Linked DNA regions of Arabidopsis thaliana. The protein of the gene in region 1 interacts with the protein of each later gene in a pairwise test. Each region holds a gene or a part of one and is shown on either strand. Other genes may lie near its edges.

Region 1 (6,093 bases):
GGTGCAGAAGAGCGAAACCGAAGCAGAGCTTGAGAGAGAGAAGCAAGAGAAATCAGAATTGTCGAATCAGATCACCGATGTCCAGAAAGCATTGGTAGAGCAAGAAGCTGCTTACAATACGCTGGAAGAGGAACACAAGCAGATAAACGAACTATTTAAAGAAACTGAAGCAACACTAAATAAGGTAACTGTGGATTACAAAGAAGCTCAAAGATTGTTGGAGGAGAGGGGTAAGGAAGTGACATCCAGAGATTCTACAATTGGGGTTCATGAAGAGACGATGGAGAGTTTACGTAACGAGCTGGAAATGAAAGGAGACGAGATCGAAACTCTCATGGAGAAGATCAGTAACATCGAGGTTAAGCTACGCTTGTCGAACCAGAAACTGAGAGTAACCGAACAGGTACTAACAGAGAAAGAAGAAGCTTTCAGGAAAGAAGAGGCTAAGCACTTAGAGGAGCAAGCATTGCTTGAGAAGAATCTCACCATGACACATGAGACTTATCGAGGTATGATCAAAGAGATAGCAGATAAAGTGAACATAACAGTAGATGGGTTTCAATCCATGTCAGAAAAACTCACGGAGAAACAGGGGAGATACGAGAAAACTGTAATGGAGGCATCAAAAATACTGTGGACTGCGACGAATTGGGTGATAGAGAGAAATCACGAGAAGGAGAAGATGAATAAAGAGATAGAGAAGAAAGATGAAGAAATAAAAAAGCTTGGAGGAAAAGTAAGAGAAGATGAAAAAGAGAAGGAGATGATGAAAGAGACTTTGATGGGACTTGGAGAAGAGAAAAGAGAAGCGATAAGGCAATTATGTGTTTGGATCGATCACCATAGAAGTCGTTGTGAATATCTTGAGGAGGTTTTGTCTAAGACCGTTGTGGCTCGAGGCCAAAGAAGAGTGTCGCAGCGAACTTAAGGACTCAGTGCCATGGTACGTTGTTTATCTTTCCCAAGCCTAGTTTCCACCTCACATGAATGCAAACAATGAAACAACATATATGTGTTTATTAGGTTTTGGACTCTGGTCAATCAAGAAGCTGGTGGAGAGGTATTTTTGGTTGGGGACTTTTGGTGTACTTGTGTTCGATTTTGTTGCACTTTTATATGTTTGTTAACTTTTGTTGTATTTTGTAAGTCAAAATTTTTGGTTTATTGTGGGCAAAGTTGGTGGTGGTTTTTATGGGAGGTCAGGGAATAAAGGGGCTCACACAAATGGAGTTGATATTTTTTTTTCTTTGGGCGTCGGATTGTATAGAACGATTAAATGCTACTGTTGGTATAGTGCTTTTGCTTGTTTGGAATTTGTTATAGTATCATCTTTGCTCTTTCATAACAAAATTATACACATCGCTTTACAGAGTTTCGTTCTCTCATTCATTTCTTATTTTATTGGGTTTTTTTTTTTTGCATTAGCAGTCGTTATATCTCGCCTTGAATTTCTAATGTGAACTAGTTTGAAATGTTTGAAATGTTTATTCTTTAATAGCAACCACTTTTTTTTCAAGTGTTTTTCACAACCGAAAAAGTCAGCCATGTGAATGATACACAAAATAAGTCAGCCAGTAAGGTTTGGTGATGTTAGATCAATCAAATATTTGAGAAAAAATTCCATAACTAGTTGATATTTCCTAAATCGAAGTTAATTGAAAATTAAGTACAATTTGGCAATATCTTAAATTATTAAATTTTAAATAGAAACTCTATTCACTTTTATGAGTTTATGGAAACACACTACTTTCTCCTCTAAAATCAGACAGTGATTATACTTTGACCTTAAAATTTGAAAAGAGTCTAACACGTTATAATTCCCAATTACTTTATTATCTGATTAATTCACCAAGATACATTAAATCTAAAATTATGTGATAGATATTCATATAAATCATATTGGATTATTCCAACAAAAAAAAAACTCTTAAAATTTGTTTCCTTATTTACAAACAATACATTACTGAAAATTTCTAAATAAAATATCAAAAAGTAATTTCAAAACCTTGTTTTGTCAATTTAATATTTTTATTTTTACAAAAAAAAATCTGAAACATGCAAAGAAGCACAAGTAAAGTACAAGTGGAAATGTATGAAAATAGGAATCATAAAACTAATTTTTTAATTTAATGATAGGAATCTGAAAAAAGCAAAATTTTATCACATCCCGAATAAAGAGGAAAATGCAAAATATGTCTCCTTTTCTCACTATGACAGGTTGTTTCTTTAAAGAAGCAACGGAATTTAACATTATAGCAAACATTAACTATCACCAGCTATCATGCGCCCACCTCTCCACCGTGCTCTCCATCATCATCATTCCATATATAAATCATTCACTTGTAGAATCTTCTTCTCTTTCACACTAAAATTCATCGATGACGGATCCTCCCAGACCCGACCCGTTTCCTGTTACCCGACTCGATTCCGACGCCGGTGCTCTCTTCGTCCTCCAATCAAAAGGTTAAACCCATATATTTATGATATCAATCTCCAATTTTGGAATTTTAACTGATTTGAGAATTAATTCTCAGGCGAGTGGTGGCACGCCGGATTTCATCTAACGACGGCGATTGTTGGTCCGACGATATTGACATTACCATATGCGTTTAGAGGATTAGGATGGTGGTTAGGGTTTGTTTGTTTAACGACGATGGGACTCGTTACTTTCTACGCTTATTACCTCATGTCTAAGGTTCTTGATCACTGTGAAAAATCCGGCCGCCGTCACATCCGTTTCCGGGAACTCGCCGCCGATGTTCTTGGTATCATTCAAAATCTCTTCTTTGTATTTATTAATTTGCTTTTTTTGGATAAATCCGTAAAGGTTGGATCGTGTTTCGATTTGGATACTTTGACTTCTTGTTAGATTCGCCATCATCACACGTGTCTTAGTTTACCGTACCGGTCTAGGTTAGGCCTGTGTATTTCGGTTTATAGATCGGTTTACGTCATAAAGTCTGGTCTTTCCGGTTATTGAGTTTTGGGTTTAAGGGCCGATTTCGAATTTTGAGCCGGTTATTGTGATGTGGTGCAGGATCTGGATTGATGTTTTATGTAGTGATCTTTATTCAAACAGCTATCAACACTGGAATTGGTATTGGCGCCATTCTACTTGCAGGTCAATGTCTTGATGTAAGAAAGAAACCTAAATTTTGATTACTTGTTAAACAAGGTACTATAAGAACCGTACGGATCATCCTCTGTTTTTGTGTTACTACACAGATAATGTATTCGAGTCTTTTCCCGCAAGGAACGTTGAAGCTTTACGAGTTCATTGCTATGGTGACTGTTGTGATGATGGTTCTCTCACAGCTTCCAAGTTTTCACTCTCTTAGACACATTAACTGTGCGTCTCTGCTTCTCAGCTTAGGATATACTTTCCTCGTCGTTGGGGCTTGTATCAACCTAGGTATAATGATTCTTACGTTAGCGAAGAAACAACAACTTACTAATGTTCGAAAATTTAGATTCATTGCCCAGTTTTGGTTCTACAGGTTTGTCGAAAAACGCTCCTAAACGTGAGTATTCTCTAGAGCATTCGGATTCAGGGAAAGTTTTTAGTGCCTTCACATCAATTTCGATCATAGCTGCTATTTTCGGAAATGGAATCTTACCCGAAATACAGGTGAGAAATGTTTGCAATTTATTCAATACAAACATTGTATGTTATGTGTTTGAGATTTATGAGATGATTATATGTATGCAGGCAACTCTTGCTCCACCAGCCACAGGGAAGATGTTGAAAGGACTATTGTTGTGTTATAGTGTGATCTTCTTCACGTTTTACTCTGCTGCAATTTCGGGATATTGGGTTTTTGGTAACAATTCGAGCTCTAATATCCTCAAGAACTTAATGCCTGATGAAGGACCGACTCTGGCTCCTATCGTGGTGATTGGCTTAGCTGTCATCTTTGTCCTTCTTCAGCTTTTCGCCATTGGCCTTGTAAGTTTATAACTAGTGTGATCGTTATTCGATGTTACTTGGCTGTGAGACGAGTGACTAAATGTTTCTTTTTTTTGGTAACTGGTTAGGTGTATTCTCAAGTTGCGTATGAAATAATGGAGAAGAAATCAGCGGATACAACAAAAGGGATATTCTCAAAACGCAACCTTGTGCCGCGTTTGATACTAAGAACACTATATATGGCGTTTTGCGGGTTCATGGCAGCGATGCTACCGTTCTTTGGGGATATAAACGCGGTGGTAGGAGCGTTTGGGTTTATCCCACTCGATTTCGTGCTGCCAATGCTTCTATACAACATGACCTATAAGCCAACCAGACGGAGCTTCACGTATTGGATAAACATGACGATAATGGTTGTGTTCACTTGTGCAGGACTCATGGGAGCTTTCTCCTCCATTAGGAAACTTGTTCTTGATGCTAATAAGTTCAAGTTGTTTAGCAGTGAAGTTGTTGATTAGATGGTTTTGATAGTGTGATAAAAACATAAACAATACTTGTTTTGTGGTTACACTTGTACATGAATTTCTCGAGTTGATTCATTATCACACAAAATGCAAAACCAAACTAGTTACAAAATGCAAAACCAGACAAGGATTATCACACTTACGTCAATTGTTCTTGAGATGAATATGTTTTTTTTGTTAAATGATTTTCTATTTAAATACAAAGTTCCTTTGGGTATAAACACTAAACAGATTACTGGGTTCAGTAAACTCTCTCAGAGTGTGTTAATTTTCAGTATTCGTAGCTGATTGGTTCGGTTTCGGACCGATTGGATATCCACCAATCCGAAATAATACATTACATATTATTAATTTTATGCTCAATTCGGATCGTGTAATTCAGAATTTCATATTTGATATAGTAAATTTCAAATAATTTTGATAATTCTGATCGGATAATTCGGATATTTTGGATTTCATCGGATAATTCAAATCCAAATAAGAATTAAAACCATACATATTTTGGTTTCGAATACACTTGGGATTCTAAAATATCAATAAAAACCGATTTAAGTCTAAAAAAATTAGAATCATAAAATTGTTTGGATTCTAATCGGATTCTATCAGACCTAATCTAATCTGATCCGATCCAAAATTCGAATGCCCAGACTATCACATACTATGGTCATGGATTTCGGAGCGGATACTCCAATCTCATTTGCATTTTGTCTTCTTCTTCTTTTTTTTTTTAATTATTAAAAATTACCTTAAGAATCTAAATGGAAATGCAAAACAATGTGGACGTAAAGAACTTAGGATCAAGGTAATCTAGCAACAACAAAATAAATGGATATATAGTAAATTTAAAAATAAAATATAGACACAATAACAAGGTACTATTTTTTAATAGCATTTCAATATAACAACTAAAAACAAATCATGAGGAACAAAAAAATACCGAAAAAAGCTCGCGCATAGTGCAGATACTCACCTAATTATATATAAAGGTTTGTATTCATATAGTATCTTTTGGCCATTTTCTGTAAATATATATTATATTGAGAGTATGATTTGAGGATCTTCATCATAAATGAAAAAAATAAATATATGTGGGGACAAGATCAAATTAATGATTTATCATGTGATGTATCAGCGATAGTATTTGTTAAATACTATTTCTAAGGTTTACGTGTTAGGATTAGGAATTTAGGAACGAGCACGAATAGTCAACATACAGAACCTAACTCGTTTTGTGTTAATTGTTTTAGACACATGTGTGTAAGTCAGTAAAAGTTTTTTTCCTAATGGCAAAAGTAATTCATCCATTCAAGATAGAAATGGCCATTTTCTTTAAGAGAAAACCAATCTGATGAAATAGAGTTTACTTAGAAAAAGATAATACCACATGATCGTGCTTTTTTGCAAGACACTCATGTGGAAAAAGAGTGTTTGAAAGAGCTAAAATCTTCTAATTCTGACAGTAAAAGTTTAAGCTCGTTTATTTATTACATTTTTCGTCATTGTCAACTAACTATACATGAGTACTTCATAAAATCCATGTGATTTAGCTTACAAAAAAAAAAAATGTAATTACGTACGTGTATAGAACTTAAAATTCGCTAATGGTTTGGTAAACGCTAGAGTTGGGGCTTAATAATGGTTAACCAAATTTTACCACAAGTC
Region 2 (5,116 bases), about 13 Mb from region 1:
AGCTAAAGAATAGATTCTAGGACATGCTGCTAAAAGATTGAAAATTTAACCATACCTGAGGATCAACATCAGGATTGATACGCAACAACACATTGACCTGCTTACCAGAAATTCTTGAAGCTTCCACAATGTTATTCAAGTCAAACTCACTATCAACATTTACGAAAACACCTTCTTGAGCAGCTAGAACTAAATCTTCCAAAGACTTTCCATTTCCATTGAAAATACACCTATTCATTTCATCCACACCGAAGACATGGTCAAAAACTACACATCAACATGAGACCAAATAAAAAAATATTCAAACTTTATTATTGGGGATAAAGAATCGTACTTTGTGGGATCGAAACCAGCAAGAAGAGCAAGCCTGAGCTCATTTCCACTAACCAACACAGCACCACAGCCCAAACTCCTCAAATGCTCCAAAATCTTGAGATTGTTATTAGCTTTAATAGCGTAACCAATAACAGATCTCACTCCTTCCAAAGCCTCTTTATAAGCCTCAAGGTTTCTCGTGATCTGAGGTTTGCTATATAAGTAAAAGGGTCGTTTCTCGACTGTTTCCATGATATCTTGAACCTTGGTTCCTTCGCAATAGAGAAACCCATCTGATGATTTCTTGAAACAGTGGTCGAAAGAGGAAGCAGATTCTTTCGTGAGGGTTTTGGTGGAGTTTTGGGAAACGGCGGCTTTGACGGAGAGGCGTTTAAGTGGCTTCAATGTTGACTTGAGAGACAAAAATGGGATTCTTGAGAGTGAAGTCTGATTCAATTGGTACTGATTTAGGGTTCCGCGGATTGATGAAGGTTGGGAGAGAAATTGAGTAACTGCCGCCATGGCTGGAGGATTTTTGTTAGGTGTGCGACTGTTACAGTAACACTGAAGGGTTTAGAAAAAAAAAGTCAACAAGTTTAAGAGTAGTTCCTGTCGGGTCCGGTTTTAGATATCCGACAATATCGAACCGGTGGTTATAGTCGAACCGATGGTTAAAAGAAGAAAGAACAAAGTCGATTTTAACTTCTTTTGGATATGGTTTTTGTCCTTGGGGGATAGTTTCTGCTAGTGTTTGTTTTGTTCGGTTGTGTTAGTTGTGTGTTGTAATAATCTTGATGCTTAAGGGGTCACCTAAAGCAGTCATGGAAATCTAGCCCTATCTATAAAAATTTGCCATTTCTCATCACCTACCAATACTTCTATTTGTTCGTATTATGCGGATATTCAGAGGATAATGTAAAACATTTTGTTGAATGCTAACGATGAAGTGCTCTATCTAGCCGTGCACGTTGTGGAGAAGTTATGTTTTAGAATCCACATTTGTTGAAGTTATGCTTATCATACTCTCTTAATTATCTATATCTATTACAAAGAGCAAGGAATGTTCTTAGTTAGGATTTGTTTTGTTTGGCAACCATTGCTTCTGGTTATTTGTGCTCTGCCTCCTTTGTAAGTTAGGATTTGTTTTATTCTTACAACTTTGCTTCTCTCGTCATACTATATAATCTCTGACTATGTATGTAATTGCATTCATGTCGATGGTTGTGGGATGTATATTTAGGTGTTTGACTGTAAGACGTTAAAAACAAACTTTACCATAAGTTATTGGGATGTCTAGACACTTTTATGGTTTGGTGAAGTAGGCTCAATGTTTTGCCCTTTATGTTTCCATTGTTGATGTTTATGTACCTTGCTGGTTGGAACCACTTGTGGATGTTTCCGACAATGCTTCTCTGTAATGCAGTTATCTTTTAATGAAATGTGATCGATCTTGAGTGTTATTTATTTTTATTTTTTTAAAGACTTTATGGTGTGGACACTTGACCGGGTGATAATTGGTAACTATACTACATAGTTAGAGAGCTCTTGAATTATTAATCACGCTAAATCTTGGGAATTGAGAGCTCGGAAGCAAAGGTTATTAACAAAATTCAAAGCAGAGCAGCATTGCCGATGAAATAATTATTGACTTGGGATTTACTCTCTGAAGTCTGAACCAAATCGAGATTATTCTAATTATATTTTTAATTTCGGATCCCTAATCTATTAATACTCCAATATCTGCACTCATTTAATTATTTCCTCTTTTTTTAACCTGCACTGACTTAAATTCAAACTTATTTCAATTGCGTGCACACTTTAGTGAACTACTACCACTATCACTATATGTGTCGGTGGATTATTATTTCCGTCATTTTGATATTTAATTACATCTTTAATTGTTACTCTTTTTTGCCCATTCTTCTTCTTCATTTGATTACATTATACTCTATTGTGAATTACTAAATTCTGAAAACAAGAAAAATTTGAGTACACAGGACACATCTTAGTATTACTCGTTACTAAAATACTACACGTGTAAATAATTTTTTCAGAAATAAATGGGGCCACTTTGTAAGTAATAAATCAGCTTACATTAATTATTTTACCACCCAATAAAAAGATTCCACAGACTTGGCATGGAAGTCATGAACATTCACAAAAATCTAAGAAAAACTGAAAACCGAAAAAAAAACAAATTATTAAAAAGCAATAAATAAATAAACTCAGAAAAAAAAGCTATTAAGATTCCACAAAAACTCTGTATTGTCTCTTTCTCTCTCACTATCTCTCTCTCTTTTGTGAGCTCAGATCTGACCAGAGAGAAAGAAACAACCGGAGAAGAAGAAGATGACTGACCGAGTCTTCCCAGCTTCCAAACCACCAACCGCCACTAATGGAGCTCCACCAGTTGGTTCCATACCACCTCCTCCAGCTCCGGCGACTGTAACCAGCAACGGAACAACAAACGGAATGGCTAATCAGAAACCTCAAGTCTACATTCCAGCTAACCGTCCGGTTTACCGTCCACAGCCTTACAGTCGCCGTCATCACCACCAATCTCGACCAAGCTGCCGACGAATTTGCTGTTGTTGCTGTTTCTGGTCGATTCTGATAATTCTGATCTTAGCTCTCATGACTGCAATCGCCGCCACCGCGATGTACGTGATCTACCACCCTCGTCCGCCGTCGTTCTCCGTCCCGTCAATAAGAATCAGCCGCGTGAACCTAACAACCTCCTCTGATTCCTCCGTCTCTCATCTCTCTTCCTTCTTCAACTTCACTCTAATCTCAGAGAATCCAAACCAACACCTCTCTTTCTCTTACGATCCTTTCACCGTCACCGTTAATTCAGCTAAATCCGGTACGATGCTCGGTAACGGAACTGTTCCTGCTTTCTTCAGCGATAACGGTAACAAAACTTCGTTTCACGGCGTGATCGCTACGTCTACAGCGGCGCGTGAGTTAGATCCGGATGAAGCTAAGCATCTGAGATCAGATCTGACGCGCGCGCGTGTAGGATATGAGATCGAGATGAGAACTAAAGTGAAGATGATAATGGGGAAGCTGAAGAGTGAAGGAGTAGAGATCAAAGTGACATGTGAAGGATTTGAAGGAACTATACCAAAAGGTAAAACTCCAATTGTAGCTACTTCTAAAAAAACTAAGTGTAAGTCTGATCTTAGTGTCAAGGTCTGGAAATGGAGTTTCTAGAGGGAATTTTGATAATTTCACAATTGAAATTTTCTATATAATCTTCTTCTTTTTTTCTTCTGGATTTTGTGAAACTTTTGGAATGATCCAAAAGGAGATTTCTTCAGTTGTTAGTTAAAAAATTTCAGAGAAGAGTCAGAGAGATAAGGTATTGTCAAGTAGAAGAAGGCCAGAGAATTCACGGCTTCTAAAAAAATTTCTTGGATTTTTGTTTTGTTTGGAACTTTCTTACTTGAATTTATATTTAATGGATACAGAAATATAAATGTAATACTTGTAACGAATGGAGTACTAAAAAGCTGGAGATTGCAGTGACTGCGTGATAGTGAGCATTAAAGTGAGATCGTAGTAGTAATAAACAGAACCTTAAAAATGGAAAAGATGCGTGGGGTTTGTGAGGAGAACAATGAAGAACACGAGAGATGTGTTAAATGTTAGATGTTGAACCATCTATCGCATTATACAACACCATTTAAGAGAAACGTGAATCGTCTTTAGTACTCTATAAAGCAAGCATATATTCTAGCAGTTGCATGTTATAAAATTAATACAGATCGATCACTCAATTCATGAATATGGTTTGATATAAACATTAAATTAAATGTCATGCTGTCATAAAAGATGAATTATATGGTTCATTTATCTAAGAAACTTTTTATTAACTAAGTAAGTAAAAGTTTGAAGAGGTCATTTGCAAGTGACTCCGACCAGGGATAGACTCCTGAAATCTTATCCAACTATGGACGACGACTTCATGTCGGTGTGTCCAAAAATGAGGAAAAGGAATCTGCCCAAGGGACAAATGGCATTACCCGAAACGGCAAAGAAGAACCGCAGGAAAAAAAGTTGACAATAACGTATGAGGTGTGACTGAAAAAGAAAAACTTGTAGTTTGGTTTATGACGTAAATGAATAATTTGGAAATGACAATAAGTCATCATATCTAATTTAGTGCATGACCTCCAACGTCGGCATATATTTGAGTCGGTGACCGGATATCCAGTACAAAGTAAAGTACAAACCAAAAAGAAAGACAAGACAATAAAATGGGTAAAGAAGACTTGCATACACGGACGTGATAGAAGAAGACATGCATAGTATAATTCTGACTTTCTGAGACCTTTAATGAAAATATTTGGCAATGTATTTCAAGAATAACTATGGCATATCTCTTAGATTTTGTGAAAATAGCCCATAATCGAAGAAGATGATAGTAAAAAACCGAGGCCCAAATAGAACCCATTTACCCAAAATATCAAAAAGATTAGTCGTTTGGCAATGAAATTAGAAGCCCAACACATGTCCTAAGCCTTTTTCACTTTTCTTCACTGTTTGGTTTTCCGACATCATTAACTTCGCGGGGGCAAGCGACTAACAGAAGAAAAAAAGCGACTAACAGAAGAAAAAAACGAAAAGGATTATTCCGCCGTAGAATCCATATTCTCTCCCTCATCACTTTGATAAACAAGAGTCTCATTTTTCGCTTTTCCAAAGGGAACAACTTCTTCGGATTATTATCTATGGCAGAGAAGCTTGAGCCGGTGAAGGTTTTGTACTGCGGAGTTTGCTCTCTTCCAGCGGAATACTG

The links.
Region 2: the proteins of AT5G41800 (region 1) and EMB3135 interact in a protein complementation assay, tested with the Arabidopsis thaliana proteins (one large-scale study listed by BioGRID).

The regions. Positions count from the first base shown.
Region 1 is NC_003076.8:16,731,464-16,737,556, forward strand, and holds AT5G41800 (Transmembrane amino acid transporter family protein), read left to right. Parts: upstream 1-2,199; 5' UTR 2,200-2,378; coding exon 2,379-2,463; intron 2,464-2,534; coding exon 2,535-2,765; intron 2,766-3,037; coding exon 3,038-3,135; intron 3,136-3,225; coding exon 3,226-3,412; intron 3,413-3,497; coding exon 3,498-3,628; intron 3,629-3,709; coding exon 3,710-3,946; intron 3,947-4,035; coding exon 4,036-4,425; 3' UTR 4,426-4,630; downstream 4,631-6,093. Other genes in the region: CIP1 (COP1-interactive protein 1), read left to right, coding at 1-928.
Region 2 is NC_003076.8:3,829,106-3,834,221, forward strand, and holds EMB3135 (harpin-induced protein), read left to right. Parts: upstream 1-2,394; 5' UTR 2,395-2,664; coding exon 2,665-3,528; 3' UTR 3,529-4,046; downstream 4,047-5,116. Other genes in the region: AT5G11880 (Pyridoxal-dependent decarboxylase family protein), read right to left, coding at 56-230, 335-837; AT5G11900 (Translation initiation factor SUI1 family protein), read left to right, coding at 5,049-5,116.